Linked DNA regions of Neodiprion lecontei. The protein of the gene in region 1 purifies or fractionates together with the protein of each later gene. This does not show direct contact. Links are inferred from orthologs where the notes say so. Each region holds a gene or a part of one and is shown on either strand. Other genes may lie near its edges. The genes, in order: DNA repair protein complementing XP-C cells homolog and histone H2A.

Region 1 (13,639 bases):
TATATTATGGCTGTTCGATGGCTTCGCCAAAAGTTCCGCATTGTGTATATCTATATGTACACAATCGTTTTCACGTTATTCGAAGAAAAACACGAGATAATAACAGACGAACGATATGATACAACATTTTTAATTGGCGATGATAACTTCGCGATCGCAGTAAATATTCCGATTAACTGGGTATAAAAATTAATTTTCTTTGTTCAAAAACCACACGTAACCATATCCGCGTATGCGTTTATGTATACAATATAGTATTGTATACTTATCCAAAAATAACATTGGCACGTGTAGGAAGTATATCTCCAAATTTTTCGTCTCCATTTTCCCCCGGTATTACATTTGCCGAAATAGTACACTGATGCCTATCCTATATAATCGAACCCTGCACCTCACGTAATTCATATATTAATTAATGTCTGAATCACAAAATTAATACATCAATTTTAATGTTTAGTTATTGCGTAAATTTATACATAGACTCAATATTTGCACGTGAAAATTCACGGTAATTATAATCGCACATTGTACGTGCACGCGACGATTAATTTGTTTACAAAAGTAATTGGCGTAAAACGTTGTGAAATTTCACGCGGTTGTTGTTGTGAATTTCAAAAAATTTCAGCTCTCGGATAATATTGCGCACATCTTTGGATGAAAATATACCGAATTAACACACATCTTTGACTTAGAGAATATTAATACTAATTTGATTTATGCTTTCGCGCGCTCTTGAATATCACGTGCGCGATCATCCGCGTTTATAACGACGTTGCAGTTATAAGTAACATCAGCGTAACGAAACATCGGGGAAAAATAGCTATTTCGCAAGCTTATTGTTAGAATAACCGCACTAGTCGAGTTTGCAAATTGAAATTAGTATTCCCTTCAATTTCAGCCAATTCAGAAATTTCTAAACAACGGTTCTGACCATTATGATGTATCTATAATTGTCAAACAACTTATATGCCATCGCGAATTTAAAATACTAATATACTCAAGATCATTGCAAAGTTACATTTAAATAATATTAATTAATTTTCTATTTATTGTTTAAGAAATTGATTTTTTTTCTTCAAAATCAGCGTATTTTTCGCAATGTGAACATAATTCTACAAAGTAAATAGCAATCAGTTTGTCGGAAAATTTTACCCTTATTTAATATATTTGCCAATTATCTGATATGCAGTATATTTCGAGAAAATCGTAAAAAACGAAAATCAAGACTATAGTGTAGAAATAGGCGAATTCGTTAAACAAACATTTTTACATTTGTTTCAGATAAAAAGTGTTGGTCCGAAATTAGTACCATTTTTCAAAAGTGTATCTGTCTACTTTGTTCTATTAGCAGAGCAGCCCTCCCTGCTAACTGCCTGTTTTAAATGTTTGCCGATCATCAGTCTTATCGTTTTTATTCTTCTCCATGGAATTAACTTGTCTGAAGAGTGAGTTTGATACAGCAGTAAAATGCAAAAAATATGTCATTTTTGCAACTGTGAAACGTTGAATAACTTTTCATTCTTTCTCGCTGATCAGATATGCATTTCCTCGTCGGATAGTGACTGGCCTTTTATTCAGCTGTATAGGTGATGCCCTGCTGGTATGGCCAGCCTGCTTTGTTCCAGGAATGGGAATGTTTGCTATTGCTCAAGTCATTTATATTAAAGCCTTTGGCTTCGTTCCATTGAATGGAGTGTTAGGAGCAATATTATATGCCCTATGTGCAGTTGGTAAGTATATCAGTTGTGAGATTATGAATTTCCTATTACTCATAGTCTGACTTTAAATGAAGTGCTTAATGCACAAAAACTTTGCTGATATTATATTTCAAATATTTTCTCATCTCAACAGAATATGTTACCCACTGGCATAATTGATCGATCCATATAAAAGACATTGCCGACTTTCAATTTCCAATTTGTAAAACAAAGTGTGATCCAACATTTTTACCAAAGTTTATAATTACAGCTATTTTTCTTTTGATGCCTGGTCTAAATGGTGTCTTGATGATTGGGGTTCCGTTGTATATAATACTTTTAACAACAATGGCATGGCGAGCTATAGCAAGGGTGCAATTTTTTGAGGTAAATTGATTCTGCATTAACTGTATTAACACTGACATCATTAGAGTGTTTGCTAATTAGCTGTACGTTTTCAACGCTTTATATTCAACGTAGTTCCAACATTAATAGGCTCTTCCATGCCTTTATAACAAGGATGTTGTCCTTTTGTTTCATCAACAGGAATTATGGACCTGGTCAAAAATGTGTAGTTGTGCCGGTGGTATATGCTTCGTTATATCAGATGCTTTGATTGGTTTCCACTACTTTCACAGTCCTATATCGTATGCTCAGGTACCAAAAAATAAGGAAATGGTTGCTGTTACGTAACTCTCAAGTTTGCACGGTTCGTATCAACAGAAATATGTACATACAAGCATATATGTTTCAGGTATTTATAATGATTACCTATTACGCAGCTCAGCTTGGAATAGCTTTGAGCGCTGTGGATTCAAGAGACAATATTAAACCGCATAAGCAGCGGTGAGGTTTTTCTTGGGTAATATATTAGTTGCTACAGTCGTTGAAGTGTTGACTGATTCTTACAATGGCAGGAAATCAATTATATTCGTGATCTAGAAACGAATAGAGGGTAACAAGGGAATTTCGTATTCTGGAATCTAGGAGGTGCATTATAATTACGGGATATGGATATCAACAGTATAATTAGTTTAGCACGTTTTTAGGATTAGGTTAAATACGAGTCTTGTTTGCTGGTCGTATTTAGGTCAATTTAACTTTACAACTTGAAATTCTGTATTAGGAAATTAGTATACTGGGTGGTTCGTATTTCGTACGAAGCTATGTAATTTTGCGAATACCGTTGTTTGAGTTAAAAGTGTAACAAAGAATAGGCATGAGTTTTCGTTGTTATGTATCAATGAAATTATTAGTCAACAAAGAGATATAGGTGGGAATATTCTGTTTCCAAGCGCCAGCTCTGTGATATATGGTAGAAACGTAATTCTGAGATAACTGAAACATTTCTTTTCGTTGGTATTTATTTATCTTTTCCAATTGGAAATTTACGACTGTGGTTTAAGCTTCTTAGCTGATGTAAAATTATTTAAATTACTTCTTATTAATGAATTGTGAAACCGAAGGCATTTCAATCAAACACATTACTGGTCGTGGCTCATGTAATGTTCGTGGTACTAGAGGTGGCTTATGTAACGTCGCAGTGGTTCAATTCAATTGAACAACCTTAAACCGTTTGCTACCCGTCATATAAATATGCAATCATGTTACTTTATGATTTTACAAGCAAATGGTGTACTAAGACTGATAATGAACTGTTCAGGGTCGAAATGATATAGCATTTAAGTGGCCGCATGGATCATAAGTTGAGGTGTTCGGAGTAGCGTTCAGTTATCGGATCTAGTGATGCCTTCAATATGGAACTCGACAATTTTACCTAAATGGTGATATTTCGGCACATGTATTAGGGTATTCCAAAACAAATCTATGTTACGTTTCTTTTTTTTTTTTTTACCTCCAGCTCTACAAGACTGTTGGAGTAAGTTCTACTTATCATTGATCGATATTACACTGTCTTACGATTTTACTACAAACGAGTCAAATTTCGCGATGGTGTCACCTTAGTAAGGATTGGAAGCTTTGTTTGGATCAAATATATCCTTGTTGCTTTGATTTATGAAATACATATGATTAAATCGAGCGGCTATTGTATTAGATAAACTATTGTGTTACTTTGATGTAGATGGGATAGAACTCATTACAGTATAAAGTTATGTTTCAATTTAAAAAAGTAAACCATAAATATTGTTCTTCATAAGCAATTAGAGGACAAGGCAACTTTCATGATTGGAACTCTGACGGTTATTCCATTTTCTATTGAATAAGATAATTTACCAAAAGCGGATTCTACTTAGAATGTATTAAATGAGCTGTTTGTTAGCCAGAATCTCAAACTTGTCACTAAAATATTTTTCTATCTCTAGTAATATAGATCTCTAAACTTAATATGTTATATAAAATTTAACACATAAATTTTACTATACATCAACTCAATATTCAAACTCGAAATTATTATTATATGAGAAAATATTGAAAGAAATAGTCGATTTGGTCTCCCTAAAATAGAAACGCGTACTTGTTCAATGCATGCTCAGTACTGTGCATATACATAGATTATCAAACAGTTTGACAATGTAGTTTAAACTTGAAATTCATAAATTCATGATTAGAGTCAAGAAGCGTGAAAGCTCATTGAAATATTTATTCGGAATCCGAATTCCGAGTATGTTAATAAAACATTTATGCTTTCAGAACTGTCAGTTATTCGAAATAGCTGTGAAATAATTCAATAAGTCTTTATATCAAGCATTAATAACAATACACACAATCAGTGTCGACGGTTAAATTATGCTAGTAAGAATTGATGGTATTTGGGTTGTTACTGGCTTCAAAAACGTGCTGTATTAAACAATTTACTTTATGTGATACATGAACGCGATTCGCAAGCGTTACTCGATTAGATGATATTTTACTACTTACAAGTTTATTAGGCTGTGTAAACGATTGATGACGTATTGCAGTTAGTCTCGTTATTATATTAATTAAATATAGAATGTGTAAGTATGTGTATTTGTATAGGGAAATATGAATAATTGTTATTAACTATTCTAGACCGAATATATAAGTGTAATAAAATGTACACTCTTTAGTCTGATGTTTTCCATTTCTATTACGGTATTTATTTAAAACATCATTTCTATTCACGTGGAAAAATTTCCACCGTGCCTGCATTATTTTCAGCCCAAAAATGACATTTGTTTTCTGAATTACCATGTGTCACAATACGTGTTAAAGTTATAAATATACTACTTAGTAATGAGGCAAGAGCGGTTTTTTAAAGCTATTCTTGTCGTTGGGTAATTTTTATGGAGACGTGGTAATATGAGAAATATATGAGGTGTTAGTGAATTACATGTATTTATTTGTTTAATACCAAGTACATGCACACAGCATGTCAACTGTATCAATGATGAATTCAGGAAAGATTGTACAACGGACAAAATATTACTTAATTTCGCATAATTGTCTTAGAATGAAAGTGTTGAGCATAATTCTAAGAAAGATATAGCCGTTATATTGTAAAATCTGTTTGAAATTCAAGCTAAAAACAAATCAGAAGAATACCAGTTGATATTATTGTGCTTATATAACTACATAACTGGAACAGGCAGCACTCGAATAATTGGCATTCAATAGTGATTGATGCTTGCGGTGTATCTTCAAACCACATTGGTGAAAAGAACAAGAAAACATTCGTGGCGCATGGTTCTTCAATACCCAGCTATTTCTATACATACTTGATAACTGTGTTTTACAAACTATGAGTTATAGAAGACGTTGAGGTAAAAAAAAAAGACCATTTTTAATGATATTTACAGACTATGACAAGGTGAGGGTAAAAAAATAGAAAGATCAAAACATATAAGGGCCACAATATCGAACTTTTAAAGTTTTTAAAGTTTAATTTATAGAATTTAACAATATAGAATGCCGAAGTACGGAAAAGTAATTTGTGACTTTTAAAAATACTTTGGCGGTAAAGGTGTGGAGGAAAATAATTGAATTTTTCTCGTAATCTTTGAAAAGTGCCGCAACGATCAACGAGCTGACACGTTTACTTATGATCTATTTTTTTTTGTCAACCTTTGTTTTTTTCCCACCAACTTTGGTTTGTTTTACCCGTTTGTTCGTTTGCTTATTGGATGTGCTGGATTTTTCTTTTTCTTCGTCAGCATTAAAATCATATTTAGCTGTTAGTCGTTCTCTGATGAAAACAGCTTTAATCAACTTCCTCCAATTTCCGTAAACCCTCTTCTCGTATTTCTCTCTGGCACGCTTATCTGCCTCTGCTTGTTCCACTTCCCAAGCCTCCCGTAAAACATCTTCAAACTCTTCACAAACAATAAATCCATCAAAAGCAGGCAGCGCCCCATGTCCTCCGAAATTGAAGCCCACCACAGCTGGAGCACAATCAATGTCCAACTTTCTTGCAATGCGGTTCAGTGCTGGAACTGGATAGAAAAAAAATACACATCTGACGTTATTCCTGTACAGGTATTATTTTTATACCAACAGTAGCCAATGACATACAATACGGATGTTGTTCTATATTAATAGATTACTCACGCTGAATGTGAACAGTTCCTTTAGGCAACATACACTGTTTGAATAAATCCACATTTCCGTATTCATTCCGAGGCACAATGCCATCCTTGGCTTCTGGTGGAACGTACGGATCTGTCTGCCATTTTCCAAATACTTCCAGAGACTCATCCTTCAGCCTGGCACCTGAAAGCTTTCCATCAACACCGTGTGGTCATTGTACAAGAAATCCATCGGGATGTGTAGGCATGATTATGCAAATTGCAATCAATAAGATAGCGCAATTGTAATAACTGAACATGATGTACCTTATCATATTTTGGTCTTGCTTTAACAACTTTGTAGCAATTCTCTCCTGGTTTCACTACCCTAGCGCTTTTGATCCACGTTTCGCGGGAGCGCAATGTGTGAACACAATGACGAGAGTATATAGGCTCGCCACGAACGTAGCCAAGTGGAACGACATCCGGCGGGTAAAAGGCTTCAAATTTGAGAAGATGTCTGGGCAGAACGTACAGAGGATGACCTTTGCACTCCGAAACTGTCTTTGGTAGGGGTTGTTCCAGTTCCCTGTAAGAAACAATGATTTTTCATTTATTTCTATGGAACATTAATCAGATAAGTATCATACATATCAAAAAACAGATACAGTTCATTACTTTTGCTTGAGCATCTCATCCTCTGCTTTTGTTAAGGCTGTTTCAGGTTCTTTCCAAGGAGTGTGAGCTTCCAGCCACCACTTTTCATCGATCCGTTGTTTGCGGGTCACGGTCAGCCAGTGGGGACAATATCGGCGTGTTACATCCTTGATTCGACCCTCAGAATTCAAGGCCATGACGTACAGCACTGGATCCGTAGCATTTTTCTACAAGTATCAAAGCGGTGTCTTACTGTTACCTATTTGCAGATTCATCATTTATCAGACCAAGAGAATGATATTTACGTATAGCTCGGCAATGCAATGAATTTTTGCATCCGGTACGCTGACGCTTATCCAATTTTCCTCGCATTCAACGTAAACTTCTGCCCACATATCCCTTGTGTTTTTCACTTTCTTTGGCTTCTCATTATTCTCTTCATCATCTTCATCAGACGATATCAGCTTCCTGGCGGTTGAGCTTCTCCTTGAACCTGTATTTGACTGTTTTTTAATTTTAGATACAGTGTTTTTATTCTGACTGCGAGAACGCTGCTTGGAAGCTGATGCTTTGTGCTTTGACCTGTGAGTTTTTTCAAATGGTTCATCATCCGTATCCTCCTCGCCATCCTCATTCTCCTCCTTATCATCATCCATTTTGTATTCATCATCATCATCATCATCGTCATCCGTATCCTCATCTTTTGGCCAATGCTTGACAGCTGTTTTTGCCCGCGACCTTAAACTTCTTCCACCTTTTTCAGTCACCTCTTTGTCGTTTTTCACTTTATCAGAGTTCCTTTTGCCCTTCTTGTCAACGGGAATCGCGGCAGCCACCGTTCTTGATCTCAATTTTTTAGCTGGTGGTTTAACATCCTCCGCAGAATCTGAATTCGTACTTTTTTTTCTTTTTAGAATTTCAGCTGCCCTTCTCCTGGCCTCAGTGGCTTTGCGAAGCCTGGCTGATATATTTCCTTTTTCCGTTTCTTGTCCAGGAATTTTCGTTTCTTGTGATATTTTTGGGCTTCTGGTGGCCGTTTCTTTTTTCGGTTCCTTTTTTACCTTTGTATCTTTCACTTTGGAAGACTCTGGGGCGATGAGCTGCTCTTTTGTTACTTTAAGAGCCGGGGGTTGCAGGGATATAACCAAGCGACAGGTCAGCCCCAAGGCTCTTAGCGTTGCTACGTAGAGTAATACGAGTTCTTGATAATTGTGGATCTCTTTGTCTTTGAGTCTCCTCAATAAATTCAGCGTCGTAATGCCGGACTCTGGCTTGCCCGTAGGAAACGTAAACACACCTTGAAACCATTTGGTGATTTTTTCAAGATAAGACAGATCAACCCTGCCTTTTGGGTAGCAGTTTTTTGGTGCCAATTTTAGTGCAGCTGCAAGTAATATCGGATTGTTAATTTGCTTGTTTACGTAAAAACCGTGCGCCATCCAACAGAGGAGTCCTACTTTGTGTATCAATACTTGATTGGACCTAAGCTGTTGATTCAACTTCTTTTTCAACAAATCTTCAAGCGTTTCCTGTTTCTTCTTCTTCCTCTGATTGAAAATCAGTTTCGAATCGACCAGGGTTATTTTTACCCCTTCTTTTGGAATGCTGTAGTTAGACGGAGCGGAGTCTTCAGCTGGTCCTTCTTCGTCCGGCTCGTCCTGATCTTGCTCCGCAGTTGAAGCTGTCGCTCCAGTTTCTCCCAAGAGTAGAAGATCAGCTATTTCGTTGGTGAGTTCTTTTTTCACTGGTTTGGTATTTTCAGGTTTTTCCGCGCTGCTCTGATCAGATTGAATCGCTTGACTTTTCTTCGTCGCCTCAAGGTTCTTGAGGACCTGAGCCATGAGGTCATCATTGTTATCGTGGGATTCATTTTCGTAATCAAAATCCGACTCCTCCGAACTTTCGAGCTTCTTTGGTACGCTCGCTGTTTTTCGAGTAGGTTTTGTGAAAAACGGTGATATTGACTTCAGCTTATCCGGGGCTACCATAAACTCGTTACTACTGTCCGAGCTCTCGCTGTCAGATTCATCAGCGTTCATCTTTCTCACTTCAGCAACACCCTTAATAACGAATTTCAAACAAAGACTAACCTCGAAACCCGACACTCACAGTCCACGTGACCGCCATAATACGCTCGTCGTTTGTTCGCGCGCGCGCGCGCAAAAATGTCAAAGGTTCTCCAGGTATAAAAGTGATTGCATAATATTATACATCACAGTACGGGGAAGGGATATTCGCTGGGTTCGCAACTTGTAAAACTGCTGGAACGTTGAATTATAATCAGCCTAAACTGGTTAGCGTTTCTCCGAAAAACTCTGATGAGACCGGTTTGACCCTGAGAAATTTTCGTCTCTCTCTCTCTCTCACTTTCTCTCTACTAATCACGTTTCAACATCTAACCAATAACAACCTTGTTGTATTGTTGTGGATAACACTGATCTGGTATACGGGTGATCGGTGGTGGAGCAGGTTTCTTACCGACGACGACATGAGAAATTGAGCGACTGTTGCTTGGCGAGCAAGCGAAAAGTTTAGTTTACACGTGTTTTAACAGGTATCACTACTGGTATGATGTTGATAATACAGCATCACGGCTCCACGTGGTGTTATCATGAATTTTGTGTTGGATGAAACGCGTTACAGATATCGTTCGTAATTTTCTATCATGCATCATGAGTGTGAAATGGGCATTTTAGATTCCGAATTTATTAGTTTCAGATAAATATGCATGAATTTTCCCGTTTTTATTCATTGTTTTATAATACACGGAATAATTAAAGCTCGGCCAAAATCACACACAATTAATCGATTTCAACGAATGCAATATGAAATCGATATTTCTTTTCAACACGATTTCTAATCATAAATCTGTCTGCGTTTATCCTGCAATTATAGCAAAACATTTTTTAGTATATATCAATTAAAAAATATAACTGATCGGGTGCATAAGTGATTCCGTATATTGGAAAGATTTCATTGTGCAGGGGGGAGAAAGAATCATTCTAACACTTTAATTATTTCAAGCTCATGTTTTGAACTTTGAATTAGCTGTTAATTTGCCACGGATTACTGAAAGTTAAAGTGCTCTAAATAATATATTGAACAATTCCACCGCGCTTAATGCATTATAAATTTCGACTTTACAGATACTATACTGGACTCCATACGAGATGATGATAGTTATTTGTGTGGAACCCTCAGATGAGCCGGTGACGTATACGCGAAAGTGGCAGGGCATTGATGGATTAGTTACACCTGTACCGCAGTATGACTCTACGCTGATGCTACTTTGCATAATACATATAGCTACACATCCGCGGTGTTTGGGAGACGCGGTTCCAACAAGGAAATGCCTCACAGTTTGCAACACGCATTACCGGGATTAAACAGTGATAGATCTGCAGGAGTAATAGGGATCGAGGACTTATTTCCGAGGTATCGAAGGAGCATAATATCCTTGTGTAGGCGAGGCTTGACTGAGCTCCAGAAGAACGGAAGCCAATCTGGGAACGGCTGTGCCAGCTGAAACGCTGCAGAGATGCTTCGGGCGTCGCGAGGCCCTGAGAATAGACGTCGCGACGCCCCCCCACCCCCCACCCCGAACACCGCCCAACCACCCCCCGGCACCCTCAGCCATCCTCAGCTCACCCTCCTATTGCCTCCTGCAGCTAAACTGATTATAGTCGAGCGCACGGCCCCTCCGTCTGCTTAATTAAATTAGAAACTTACAATCATCTAATGTTATGTGGACCTTGCCGCTTACTTTTGTAAGTACAACTGCAGGGCGAATTTACACCACCGAGTGGGTGGTCGAGGCTCTGTGTAGGTGTTCTTGCTTCTTTTAATATCGCAATGCTGTTCCGTAACGGTATGTACCTACTTAACCGTGAATCACTTTTCAGCGTAATTTATACATAATAATACATAGAATATGTACAATGCAAGGCATGCGTAACTTAATCGTTGATTGATTATTAGTTTTTTCATGCACAAGCAATTATTAGTAGACATTTGTGTAATTTGATTTTCATTAGACGATTATGTCAGAGAATATTTCGATGGTAAAATTGACTCCCAGCGATTTTTCATGCGACACGTTTAAAAATTTATCCTCACACTGTGCGCGATGCCACGGTCGTTTGATTGACTGCATCCGTTGATTAACGAACATTATTGGCATATACAGATGCATCTGCATTGGTGGGAATATCATTCAGGTAGCGCTGTTCCGTTGCGAGCTTTTATTTCACCTCTTGTTGCTCGTGTTTGCTTTCAGGCCGGCAATGCGGCTCACAATCAGAATTGAAATACGTTTCTGCGAACGGTGCTTATATTTTATACAATACACGTGTGCGTAGGCATGTGCGTATATATGTAGGGGTGTATGTAAATGGATTTTTATATCCCCCAACTTTCAGGTAATTAAAAATTTCTTTATTTCGTCGATTAAAACGTTACATAACGGTGCGTTTGTGCAATCCAATAACAATATTGTGTTTTCACAATTACTAATTACATTTTGCATTATCTAATTGTTTCAGTAGAATATAACAATGTTATAACCGAGTCATCCGGAATCATGATTATTTAACCGTCTTAATATTAACAACAAACATCCTGTGTGGACTGGAAACCGGGATGAATAAAAAAAAAAAACCAACTCAACCGTGCTTGGAACGAAGTAAATTGTAGACGTATAGCTCGATGAAGATGAATGTATTTCCCGAGTAGAAATCCGAACGGCGTCCAGAAATATTAAATTGTATTCCTACGGGGCGTCAAGTGGAGGGTGGAGAGCAGGAGGCGAGGCACCTAACCAATATTTAATCAACTTTGGAGGAGAATATTATTCTCCGGACAAATCAAGGACATATGTAGCAGACCGCCGGCGTCCCCTTTTCCGTTATTTCGGCGTGCATGTGCGAGCGCGTCTGAACGGCAGAAACGGAGCAATAGCAGCTAGACAAGTGTAGAGAATTTTCGTGCGGGGAACCCCGGCCGTGGCGTGCGGCGTGTGCCGCGGATCCCTAGGGAGGGGATTCCCTCCCCGGGTTACGAGGACTCGGGCAAGCGCAGGATACACGCGGGAGCGGCGATCGACTCGTGAGAACAAGTGCAATACAAGTGTCGCACCGTTCATCCCTTGGGATAATACCGAAGGTAGAAGAGCCAAGGGAGGGGGCGGGGGGGGCGAGGAGCGTGTTTCCGTCTACCTTGTATACGTGCAGTAAAAAATTTTACGCTTTTATTTATCGTCAATTTATCGTCGAGCAAACAACTAAAGCGAGGAAAATTTCATTACAGAGACCTCGCGCATCTTATACGGATGGATATATACTACGGAACAATGAAAGCCTCGCCTCGTATAGTTTATCCTGCAGAAGATACACGATCAGGTATTTGTCCGTTGAAGATAGGCATACGTATGGACCTATGTAGGTGTACGGTTTGGATCGAAACAACGCCGCTCTTCGTGAACAAAAGTTTAGCTCAATTATTGACCGTATCGAACGTCGAATCTCCCGGGCGTACCGGGAGATCTTGCCCAATTGGTTCTGTACAATTTCACCCCCCAGTCGCAACATCGGATCGTTCGAAACTACCTCTTGCAGGTCAACGGTACGGTTCACTGATTTTTAGTACTAAATGTATTGTACGTGGAACGGTACATGCAGTTATTTATCGAAAGTTTATGCACTGTGCACGACCGGTTTTATCACAGGGTTTCTATAAAACTCGGATCAAATTTCGCCGAGACGGAAATATAATAAGAACCAGTAAAAAGGAGGCGCAAGAAAATTATTTTATGCTTTTATTTTCCGACTGAATCAAAGAAGAAGAAAAAGAGAAAGAAGAAGTAAAAGAATAAGAAAAAGGCGGCAGGACTCGGGAGTGGATCGCATATAAATCATTCAACTCAGTCTTCAAATTCTGTCAATTTGTTAGAGTAGCTCTGGCATTCTGGGAAAAGAATGAACTTGGGAAATCGATACACATATCCCTCGAAACGGTGCCGGAGCGTGTGTAGATATGCATTCAAACTACTCGTAGTCCGAATACGCGAAACAAATTTTAGACATTATTCAGTGCATTTTATTAATTCTTTTCCGCACAACACGGAACCTTTCACGGTTATACTATACTTCGGTGAAAGTATAATGTACGTCAGTGATTTCGACAAATCGTCAAAAACCGAGGCTTCGTTAACACGTTTATTTATCGCATACGCATTGAGATGTGAAAGTTGTCGGATCTCTTACAGCCAGCAGTGTTCGATTAAAAAAAACCAATTCGGGTTCTCCCACGGAGCTTGAATTTCGCGACAATACCTACAGATGTAAACAAATTGTGTCACTAATTTACAATTTCCTATACGACCACGGAATCGCGCAAATGACGAAGGACCGCACGTGTAAAAAAAGTACAGAGTGACCGTAGTGTCGAATGATCGAAACTTAAAACAGAGAAAGTTCAGCCAAGTTTAAAAATTCTGAATCTTAATGACCGGATTGTACATGCCGAGGTAAAGTGGCCTAAGTAGAATAACGACCGAATGCAGAAAGACTAGATAAGCGGAATCGTTCCGGTGGTTCAATACAAAGCAAAGGTTTTGGGTACCTGGCCCAGGGGTCACTTACTACAATTGATCGTAAAATCAAGGGTTGTTTGTTCAAAACATTAGCCGGCTTCGCCGTCGGATGATAGCGTTCATTTTACCATGATGGTGGTCGCGCACCTCCGGAGAAGCCTCGCCGCGTCGGCTCGCTCCTCCATCACTCCGTTTGTCGCTACGCGGAGGTC
Region 2 (9,904 bases), on another chromosome or scaffold:
CTAATGTAAGCATTAATCATAATACTACCACAAATATTAGTAATAATACGATTAGTACGAAACCGCCAACGCCGCACCATGTAAGCGAAGCACTGCCAACAGCAGGCAACCTTCAGCGAACCGATGTCCAAATAAATATTAATAATAACTGTATTACTAATGATAAAACTTCTGCGAATGCTAATTACTACAATAATCATATTATGAGCGGATCGAAAGCCATTAGTCGGAATTACAAATGTAATTTAGAAAACGTCCAGAGAGATGTACAGAAGAATTGTGCTGGAAATAATGAAAGAAACGAAAGCGATCTATCGCGACATACACTGTTGAACCAAAATCATTCGACTATCAATACATTGTTATCGGATAAATCTCCTGTACTGTCGCAGTCAAATTATGACCATAACAACAAAGGGCCTACTTTTCAACCCTTGAATTTAAATACAAATGATAAAGATTGTAAGTCTGATATCGATGTCAAACCCCAGATGGATCAAAGTACTATTATGTCCACATTACCGTATCAACCAGTTGTAAAGTTCAGTTTAAGTGATGTCGCGCAAAAACCAATTGGTACTACTCAATTGATGCAGAGTATTAAATCGGAGGAAGTTTTGCGCACCTGCCAGAATGTCTCAAATGTTCTTTTGCAAATACCAAAATATCAAGAAAAGTTATTGAATTTCTCAAATAATGAACTCAAATCTGCATTTTGCTTTACCGACAAGTGCAATAATGTGACTGAGATTTCCGTGAAGTGTGAATCGGCTGTGTTAAATGTGCCTGATCTCAGCAAGTCCTTAGTCAAGCACGAAACTGTGAACGATAAATCATTCCTGATGCCCGAGAAACCGAAAGAGTTAACATCGATGCTGGACCTTGCTGAAAAACGAAGGAAACGTAAACGGGAGAAAACCATCGGAGCCAGTGTAAGCTCTGAATCAGAGAGTGAAGAAGATGTCAAAGATTCGGATCTGTGGATAACCAAAGGGCCGCCTTCTAAGCTTCAATGTCCTGCCAAGAAACTTTCTTTCCTCGCCATGTTCGGACTGACCACTCTTAGCACTAGAAATGGTAAGATAGTATCTCAATGGAATAAAATAATCTGTAATAATTGGATTTCAAAGGCTAACTTTGCGTCTAAAAACTTGTTAAAAAATGAACGAATTTTAGAATTTTGTTTTGATACCTTGAACTTGAAACGTATCATTTGTCTGCAATCATTTCAATTACAAGACAACCGAAAAGTAATCAGAGAATAACAGAATGTGGATTTTCAAAATTTCTTTACAGAAATGGAACTTTCCAAGGTGGAAAAACGATATAAGCTAAATCCAGAGCCACCTGTTCCACCATTGGACTCTGAACCTATACTTGAATCTCTATTACCAATTCCACGGGAACATCCTGATGTGCTTCTTCAAACTCCCGATTTTGTAGGCAAAGCTGGGTTCCTCAATATTCTCGGGCTTGATGTTATGCCTCCAACCAAGAGAGACGGTAATATACTTGTCATCTTTTTTTTTTTTGTATTTACGGAAGAACATGTGATGATAGTTTATTATTCCCTTGAGCACTATCATCATACACATTAGCGTCATTGGTGAAGAGTAAGAAATTAAATACTTTCCTTTGAATGGAAAATCACAGTCGGATCTGCAACAAAGTAATAAAGAATATGATTAAGAATCTGGATTACTTTGTTTCTTTTGCATTAACAACAATGTGTAAAACATTACAGAAGCAGAAGTAAGCTGGCAATACATTCTCAAGGATCGGAAAAAACGGAAAAGTGTCAACACAGTGACAGCTTACTGTGAAAGAATTGCCAGAGTTTATTCAAGAAATCCACCATTGTTACCAAGACCACCGCAGAAAATGCGACTACTGGACAGAGTGAAATCAAAACATTTACCAGAGCGACCACCACCGTTACCACCTTTGGTTCCAAATATAGTACCAAGGTTCCACTCTGTCCTACCCACACCTGGAGAGAATGGCGTTAAGCAACATTGCAAAATACCAGAGATTTGTCAGGCTGACGATTCGATTGATGATAAAGATGACAAGGATAAATCGAGGTGGGATGGTATCGAAGATACCATGATCGCATACATGGAATATTCAAAAGGTCCGTAATTATTATCTATAACAATCAGCTTAAATTTTAGAATCATTGCGAATGTGAATAATTGAAATCCATTATGTGAAAAATGCATACGATATCGTCAACGTGGGCCAATATGTTTTTCTAATTGATTCTATTTTCTTTGTATTTTTTTTTTTATAGAAAAATCGTTGGAGAGAACAGTCTTAGCTGCGCAAACGGCGAAACTAGCAGCACGGACAAATAATCTGAGATCAGAGGCAATCCAACTAGAAAGAAGAAGATACGATTTATTGTCCAATTGCTCCGCCCTTGAGACAGAGAGGCGATGCCTCAGCGAGCAGATAGAAAGAATTAACGCTCTTCTGAGAACCCTGAGGTAGCAATACGCGACGCACAACACGGAAACTCATTCATCTGTGATATTATCGACGGGTTAAGAGAGCCGTTGGTATCTAAATAGTTGAAACGACAAACAATTTTTTAACAATTTTAGATAAGTAAATGTAAGATTACATTGACCAAGTGTACAGCATTTTTTTAGTCTTTTATCACAGTTTACTTTATTTGTAATGAATTAAAGCTATACTGGTAGTTTTTCTAAATCCAGAAATTTTAGTTATTCGATATTTAGGCATTCTTTTACATAGCGATTGTTACATGGAGTTTAAACGTGTCTTAACCATTTCTAAAACAACTCGTAAAAAGAGTCTGATTAGAATATGCTATTTGAAAGACATGTTGAATATTGTGTATGAAATCAGAGGGGACTAGTGTTTAAAGTGTTGTAAGTAATCATATCAATATGATACGAACGTGTAAAAATGAAGTGTAAAGAAAACGAATCAAAATACAAATTTCTCTTCAATTAATAAGGAAGTTTTAGTGTTTCATAATTTTTACTGACGGCTCTTTAACCCAAGGTATAAGATAAATAATTATAATTTGTATAATATTTTATTGAATATAGAGAGAACTCATGTAACTTATTTTATTCTCTGTAATGTGGACTTGTATTTAAATATTGAAAAGGATATTCTATCATATGATTCGCACGTTTACTGATTAGTAGCATGTGTATTGATAAGATAAACATAGAAGAGAAGGATCTCAATTTAATAACTGCAAAATCGAAGATAATTGATTTTTAAACAATGCGAATATCTTTTATATTGAAGTAAAATTGTTTATCGAACATTCGCCATTTGATGAACCTCTGAAAGATACTTCTAATTTGTTGTAAGTACACCAGTGTCTTCTCGAAACGGGCACTTTTTGTGGTTCAATATTTTCCGTATGTAATAATTGAAACGCTAATAATTATTTGGAATTCGCATAATTTTTCGAACACATGTATTGCAATTTGTATAAACTGTAGACTCAACCATTGAATAAGAATAATAAGAACCTCCTTCAATTCTATGTTGAATACTTACAATAATAATAATAATGTCTGCAATGGCCAGTGAATTTCAAAGAAGTGAAAAACGATGTTGAGGTACTTAACAAAAAACAAGGTTATAAAAAAAAATGACTTGACTTTTACCACAAAATTGCGTGAGTACATTCCATGAAAATGCTTGTTACCCGCTAAACCTTTAACATTCCATGTATTGAACGGACCTTGAAAAAATATGAGTAAACGTGAAATAACATTTTTATTTAATATCATCCATTTCTTGGCAGACCGTAATTATTATACTTCACCTGGGTCCTATTTAGTTCTTTCTTTCTTGTTTTCACATTTTCGAATAATTTGGCGTACTGATTCAAATCTCTCATTGTGCTCTCTAAATTGATTATCTCCTTGCTCCGTATAATGTAGCATCATATCTACCCGCCTTCCCTGTTATAACCCGCAAATCAATTTTGTCTGTGTTTTCAACGTTTTGTTCATTGAGTGCCTACATTTGTAAATATCATTATTTTTATGTATTGTGTAATATTAAGGCATCTGTAGAAATCTGCAGGTACCTTTCTGGCCAGAACAAGAGCCTAAAAGTAAACTGTTCGAAAACACTTTGTCTGCCTCCTTTATCTCCCTTTTATTAAAAGTTAATTGTAAAATATTAAAGTAGTCTTTGAAATTATCTTATAAATTCTTATGAAAAGAAATCAGTCGAGAAGGTAATTCACCGTACATAATATGTATATTTTCGGTCGACGCTTTATGTAGTCAGTTTTTTTGTTTTTAAATCTTCCAATTGCCATAATTGAAGCATAAATTATATGTATCCATAAATACAAGAAAGCTTTTTCAAATGGTGCGTTTTATTTGCGAGTCTCATAAAAATAGGAGAGGACAAGGACGACGTTCGATTGGTTTAATTCTAGATACTAACCAATGAGGTAACGCTTCTCATGCTTTTTTGTTTTCAAAGTATGGTGCTGCCATCTGTCGGAATGAAATAATACGAATTCCACAGCCTTCCGTGTCAAAAAATTTTCCCGCGCAAACGAGCGCTATCAAGACAGTGGGCGCCAAAATACGTGACATCCGACATCATTTGCTGTTCGGTAACGGTAGGAAGAGGTTGCAGTTGTGATTAGACTTTCTATCCGTGTAGAATCAATCTCGAAATATGTCCGGTCGTGGTAAAGGAGGTGAGTAGTATCAAAGCTTCCGAGAAATAATTAGCCAGATTCTCGAACAACAGGACGCATTAAAAGTTTCTTATTGATTTTTAAAGGCAAGACCAAGGGAAAGGCGAAGACTCGCAGCAGCAGGGCTGGGCTTCAATTTCCCGTAGGTCGTATTCACCGGCTCCTGAGGAAAGGAAACTATGCCGAACGTGTCGGAGCCGGTGCTCCGGTTTACCTAGCTGCGGTCATGGAATATTTGGCCGCCGAAGTTCTCGAGTTGGCTGGAAATGCTGCGAGAGACAACAAGAAGACGAGGTTAGTCCTATCAGCACCCTTATTTTCACAACCACAATACCATAGTTCAGAAGTATAGACAACCCACAGATTACTCCTTCATTTTCTCTTATTCACTACAATTTCTTCACTGTATAATATGATAAATCTCAACCAAAGTAGGTTTAACATTTCTTACGGAATCGAGCAGAATTTGCGTCGTTATTATCGCGTGCCGTGTTTTTCCTCTGTTTCGGTACAATCATTTGTCTCCTATGAAGATACATTGAACATACATTGTACACATGAAGAACTGCTTTGAAATTAATCCTAATAACAGTACAGTGTGTAATAATTCGTGTGATAAAATTGGTGTATGTATGAATGTATTTATACGTGAACATGGCCGAACACTTCCATTTCAACCTAATGCAAAGAAACTTGTTTTTGCACCAACCAAACTCTCCCCCTTCTCCTAAATCACTATGACAATCTACACGTTTTCTAAATGGAATTCTCGATTTGGGAAAACAGTACCCGATTTCATGTAACTGAACTATGCGTACACACAGATATTTGAAAAATCCTGCAGTCAGACGTACAACATTTACTTCAGGAAATTGGATTTATTGACCATATTTATGTTTTATTTTACAGAATAATCCCTCGTCACCTCCAACTAGCCATTCGTAATGATGAAGAATTGAACAAACTGCTTTCTGGAGTGACTATTGCACAGGGTGGTGTTCTGCCCAACATCCAGGCAGTTTTATTGCCTAAAAAGACTGGAAGTAGCAGTGGATCTGGCAAGGGAGACAAGGCCTCTCAAGAATACTAAATTAAGATATTACATTAGTGCGAGCACGAACTTACATTTGACCTTATAAAACCTGACAATTCAATGCAACACATTTATTTACATTCACTAAAAATTGGCAAGATCAGATGTTTAAAAGCACTGAACAAAATTGCAAGTTGAATTTATTTTGTTTCTTTTTTTTCAGTATTGAATAAATGAATCGCGTTATGTGTATGATTCATTGTATGATGCTTATGTTTGACGGCATCCTTCGTTTTTCAAACTGTTTTTTATATTTATGTATTAATTTTTGCCATTGTATTATTTCGCGAATTTTTTTGTTTCAATTTTGATAAGTGAGTAGATCAAAGGTGACAAACAATAAATGGCCTGCAGCGTTATCATAATAATACTAACTTTTATTGACCTGATAACTGATCCCACAGTATGACGAATTGGTGGGAACATTTCTTGAAAATTGTACCTATTTGTACATACATAAGCGATATCTTGACATGGAAAAATAACCCGAACGAAAAATGACAAGCGGTTTCAATAATTGTGTAGTGTTTTTGGTTTGTCTCGTCACTTTTTCATCTTACCGCAATTTCAGTAGCCCAATTATTTCTGATAATTTAGAGTGTAGACTATATTCAAGAAAGAGTGTTTTGATTATAACATCAACAAGCATGCAGCTTATACTCTCGTATTTATTATTTGACGTATGCAGCACACAATTTTTTAAGTCCAGGGATATCAGGTTTGATCATCATAAATTTTCAAAGAACCGAATAAAGAATTAATTTACAATCAGATTCAAGCTTCGAATCGACCATTCATTCAAATTGATCAAAACGTTTCTCTGTTGACTCAAGGCTCCAAAATTGTAACTTTTGGTCGGGACTGTAGAAACCGTTCACAATCGTGTAGTACGTGAAGTTTGTAATACCAGGAATAACTAATAACAGTCCGCAATATTCTTCAGACGAAAATATCGAAACCAAAGTACAATTCTTCATTGGTACAATCATGAGCACGCTTTATGCCTATAAGCTACTTCCGCCTCCGCTAGCAGACCATTTTAATAGTTCGTGGCTTGTAGCTGTATGTCAAAGTGTTCGTGCGACATGACATATGATTTTTAACTCAGCGTCCGTTAGTAATATTATATCTAGCCACTAATTGTACACTTAAAAATTCAGCGATGTCTTCGTCAGACGTTTCGATGCTCGTAGATATGGGTTTCAGCCAGGCAAAAGCGTGAGTATTGACAGAAAATAATCATCTTGTGATTCCTAACCTCTTCCGAAAAAGCCGGAATCATTTTTGCAGATTTTAAATACCCTACCACCCTCAGTTAAATAATCACTGTATTTTTCATTCGTGTGTTTTCTGTATTTGTTTTTCAGCGAGCGAGCCCTACAAATTACCGGAAACAAAGGTGTCGAGCCGGCTATGGAATGGTACGAATGAAAAACAATTTGTCTTCATCCTACTGATTAAATATTGCAAATTTTTTTAGGCTCCTTGCTCATTCCGATGAAGCTGAACCTTCCCCTGGGCTTATGGCCGAAAATCCTGTCAGTATACCCGTACCAGCAACTGAATCTCCACAGGAAAATATCGCTGATGCAAGTAACGAAGATGAATCAGCAGCAACTGCCAAATCCATTAAATGCGATGTGTGAGTATTAATGGTTGCATAAATTGTTATTTTCGTGCATTATAATGTCTGATTAGTTTTTATCTCCTCATCTTTTCAAGAATGCATGATACAAAAGATTAATTAGAAAAGAGTTCCTTCGATCAATGGCCCTTCAGGTCACTTTGTACGTAATGAACATGCAAAGGAATTTTTTCACAGATGTGGGAAACTATTCAAATCTAATTTAGAGGTGGAATTTCATGCCACAAAGTCCGGACATGACAGTTTCTCTGAAAGCACGGAAGAGAAGAAGCCACTGACGGAAGAGGAGAAGAAAGAGCAATTGAGGTTATTAGAAGAAAAAATGAGACAAAAGAGAAAAGAGCGAGAGGAACTGGAGAAAAAAGAAGCATTTGAAAAGGAGAAATTGAGGATACGCTCAGGCAAAGAGATGGTCGAAGCCAAGAAAAAGTAAGTATCTTCAGTTTATTTATTGTAGGTTAAAGAACTGTTGCTCATTTGATATAAGAGAGATGAAATTGATCCTAATGACTTTGGTCTTAATAGAAAAACGCTCGTTATTATCGACTTGAATTGGATTTAATTGCATTTAATTAGCTTGGAATTTCATCAACGTTGTATTGTTAATTTATGTGATGGTACTTTATTATTTCATAGGCTTGAAGACTTGGAAATGAAGAAATTATTAGAGCAACGGAAAAGGGAAAAAGAAGAGGAGAAATTAGCAAAGCAGAGAGTAAGAGAGCAAATCGAAGCTGACAAAGCAGCAAGACGTGCTAGAGCCGCCTCTGACGCTGGACGTGTTACACTTTCCCCTGTAGCTTCGATTGCTGCGCCAACCGTCGTATCAACGGGTCCAAAAAAAAATTATAGCGAAACAAAATTGCAGGTGATTGATACACTGATTCTCTCTTTGGCTTGTTTGAAACTACAAGTATATTAAATAACATCATGTGTTATTTATGAAACACGATACTGATTAAAATGCAGCTTGAATTATGTATTTTAGATCAGACTAACAAATGGTCAGGCATTAACACAGACCTTTGGATCCAAGGAACAGCTTTCTGCTGTACGATTGTATATTGAAATGAATAGAACTGATGGTTCGGGGTTGTTTAATTTAATGACTACATTTCCTCGGAAAATTTTCACAGAGGACGATTACGAAAAACCATTGGACATTTTAGGTAAGTGAATCTTTGTATGGGAAGCCAGTAGTACGTTTTGTCAATTGTTACCAATTATGTATTGAATTATTTTTAGGCTTGGTACCGACAGCTGTTGTGATAGTACAGAAGAAAACGGAATTACAGTAGCAGAAATTAGTGTTTTAATGGCATTATAAACTGCGTAATGCGATTACAATTTGACAAACATTAATACTAACTACATAAAATAATGTAAATTAAAGCACTTTAATACTATAAAATTGTTATTCATACCATTCATAGACCACTATTTGTAACGTTGCTGTAATACGTACATTCAATCATTCTGTAACTGGATTTTAACTTGGCACATCAATCAATTTTGAATTTCTTGTAATAATGTATGAGCATGAGATAACTCGTTTGGATTACCTGTTCACCAAACAGCTCTTTGGGTACTTGAAAAAGTGCATATAATAGATACAGTACATTTTTTTTTATTCCAATATGTATAATTTTTCTAGAAAAAAAAAAATAAATAAGTTATGCTTTTATCAGTCACTAGTTTCCTGTCACAAAACTTGACACTGAAACATCGTATTTTCTTCGAGTTACATTATAACATTACATTAGTTAAGTTGCTAGATATTTCTGGGTTGCTGTATAATGGCAATAGACAAAATTACACTCATAATACATTATACAATTTTCAATTTGCCTAGTTTGAACATATTGATTACTATTTTACTAATATAACATTGTAATTGGATGGAACTGCACTGGGATAATTCACTGGCTTCTTCCGATCACAATTTGAAGGAAAGTCAACGATGTTGTTACAATCAGTCAGCTTCAAGCCTTTATCCAGGCAAATCCGTATTTCGAATATGTAAGATTCATGCGTTTTCTACAATGTAATAATATAATATATGTAGAAATAACATTCGTTTCAGACACAATTTTCGGCTATCATGTCAAGTAAGGATGTAGAGATTTTGGTATTCCAATAATTATATCTCTGTCAAAAAGAAACTTAAATATTTAAAAACAGAAAATTGTTGCATAATCTGACGATAACTTAAAATATCAACGATGGTACAAAACATTGAATGAAATTAATATTAAAAAGAAAGTCTCACCGGATTTTTAATACACTCGACCTCAATAGTTTTTCCTAAAATCTTTTCCACACCACTAATGATTTGCTCTACGGCATAAGCTTGACCAACGAATATTCCTGCCTTGGCAAGCACATGAGTCATGTCATATTCTTTCAACAGATCCAATCCTTTTTGAAAATATTTCAATTCTGTATTCAAAGG

Evidence for each region.
Region 2: the proteins of DNA repair protein complementing XP-C cells homolog (region 1) and histone H2A purify together in Homo sapiens (affinity purification with mass spectrometry; 3 studies listed by BioGRID and IntAct, counting the BioPlex papers as one, with this or other methods). This does not show direct contact. The link is inferred for Neodiprion lecontei from reciprocal best matches to the Homo sapiens genes XPC and H2AX.

The regions. Positions count from the first base shown.
Region 1 is NC_060265.1:3,466,066-3,479,704, reverse strand, and holds DNA repair protein complementing XP-C cells homolog, read right to left. Parts: upstream 9,113-13,639; 5' UTR 8,878-9,112; coding exon 7,144-8,877; intron 7,066-7,143; coding exon 6,860-7,065; intron 6,771-6,859; coding exon 6,509-6,770; intron 6,394-6,508; coding exon 6,225-6,393; intron 6,110-6,224; coding exon 5,724-6,109; 3' UTR 3,524-5,723; downstream 1-3,523. Other genes in the region: lysoplasmalogenase-like protein TMEM86A, read left to right, coding at 1,282-1,445, 1,537-1,730, 1,969-2,084, 2,244-2,354, 2,452-2,547. UniProt on the Homo sapiens protein: Involved in global genome nucleotide excision repair (GG-NER) by acting as damage sensing and DNA-binding factor component of the XPC complex. Has only a low DNA repair activity by itself which is stimulated by RAD23B and RAD23A.
Region 2 is NC_060262.1:40,431,621-40,441,524, reverse strand, and holds histone H2A, read left to right. Parts: upstream 1-4,554; 5' UTR 4,555-4,692; coding exon 4,693-4,714; intron 4,715-4,800; coding exon 4,801-5,008; intron 5,009-5,623; coding exon 5,624-5,804; 3' UTR 5,805-6,175; downstream 6,176-9,904. Other genes in the region: uncharacterized protein LOC107223647, read left to right, coding at 1-1,077, 1,297-1,503, 1,745-2,134, 2,294-2,493; UBX domain-containing protein 1, read left to right, coding at 6,970-7,025, 7,175-7,228, 7,288-7,449, 7,630-7,881, 8,089-8,320, 8,441-8,621, 8,698-8,750; ribonuclease Oy, read right to left, coding at 9,322-9,489, 9,722-9,904. UniProt on the Homo sapiens protein: Variant histone H2A which replaces conventional H2A in a subset of nucleosomes. Nucleosomes wrap and compact DNA into chromatin, limiting DNA accessibility to the cellular machineries which require DNA as a template.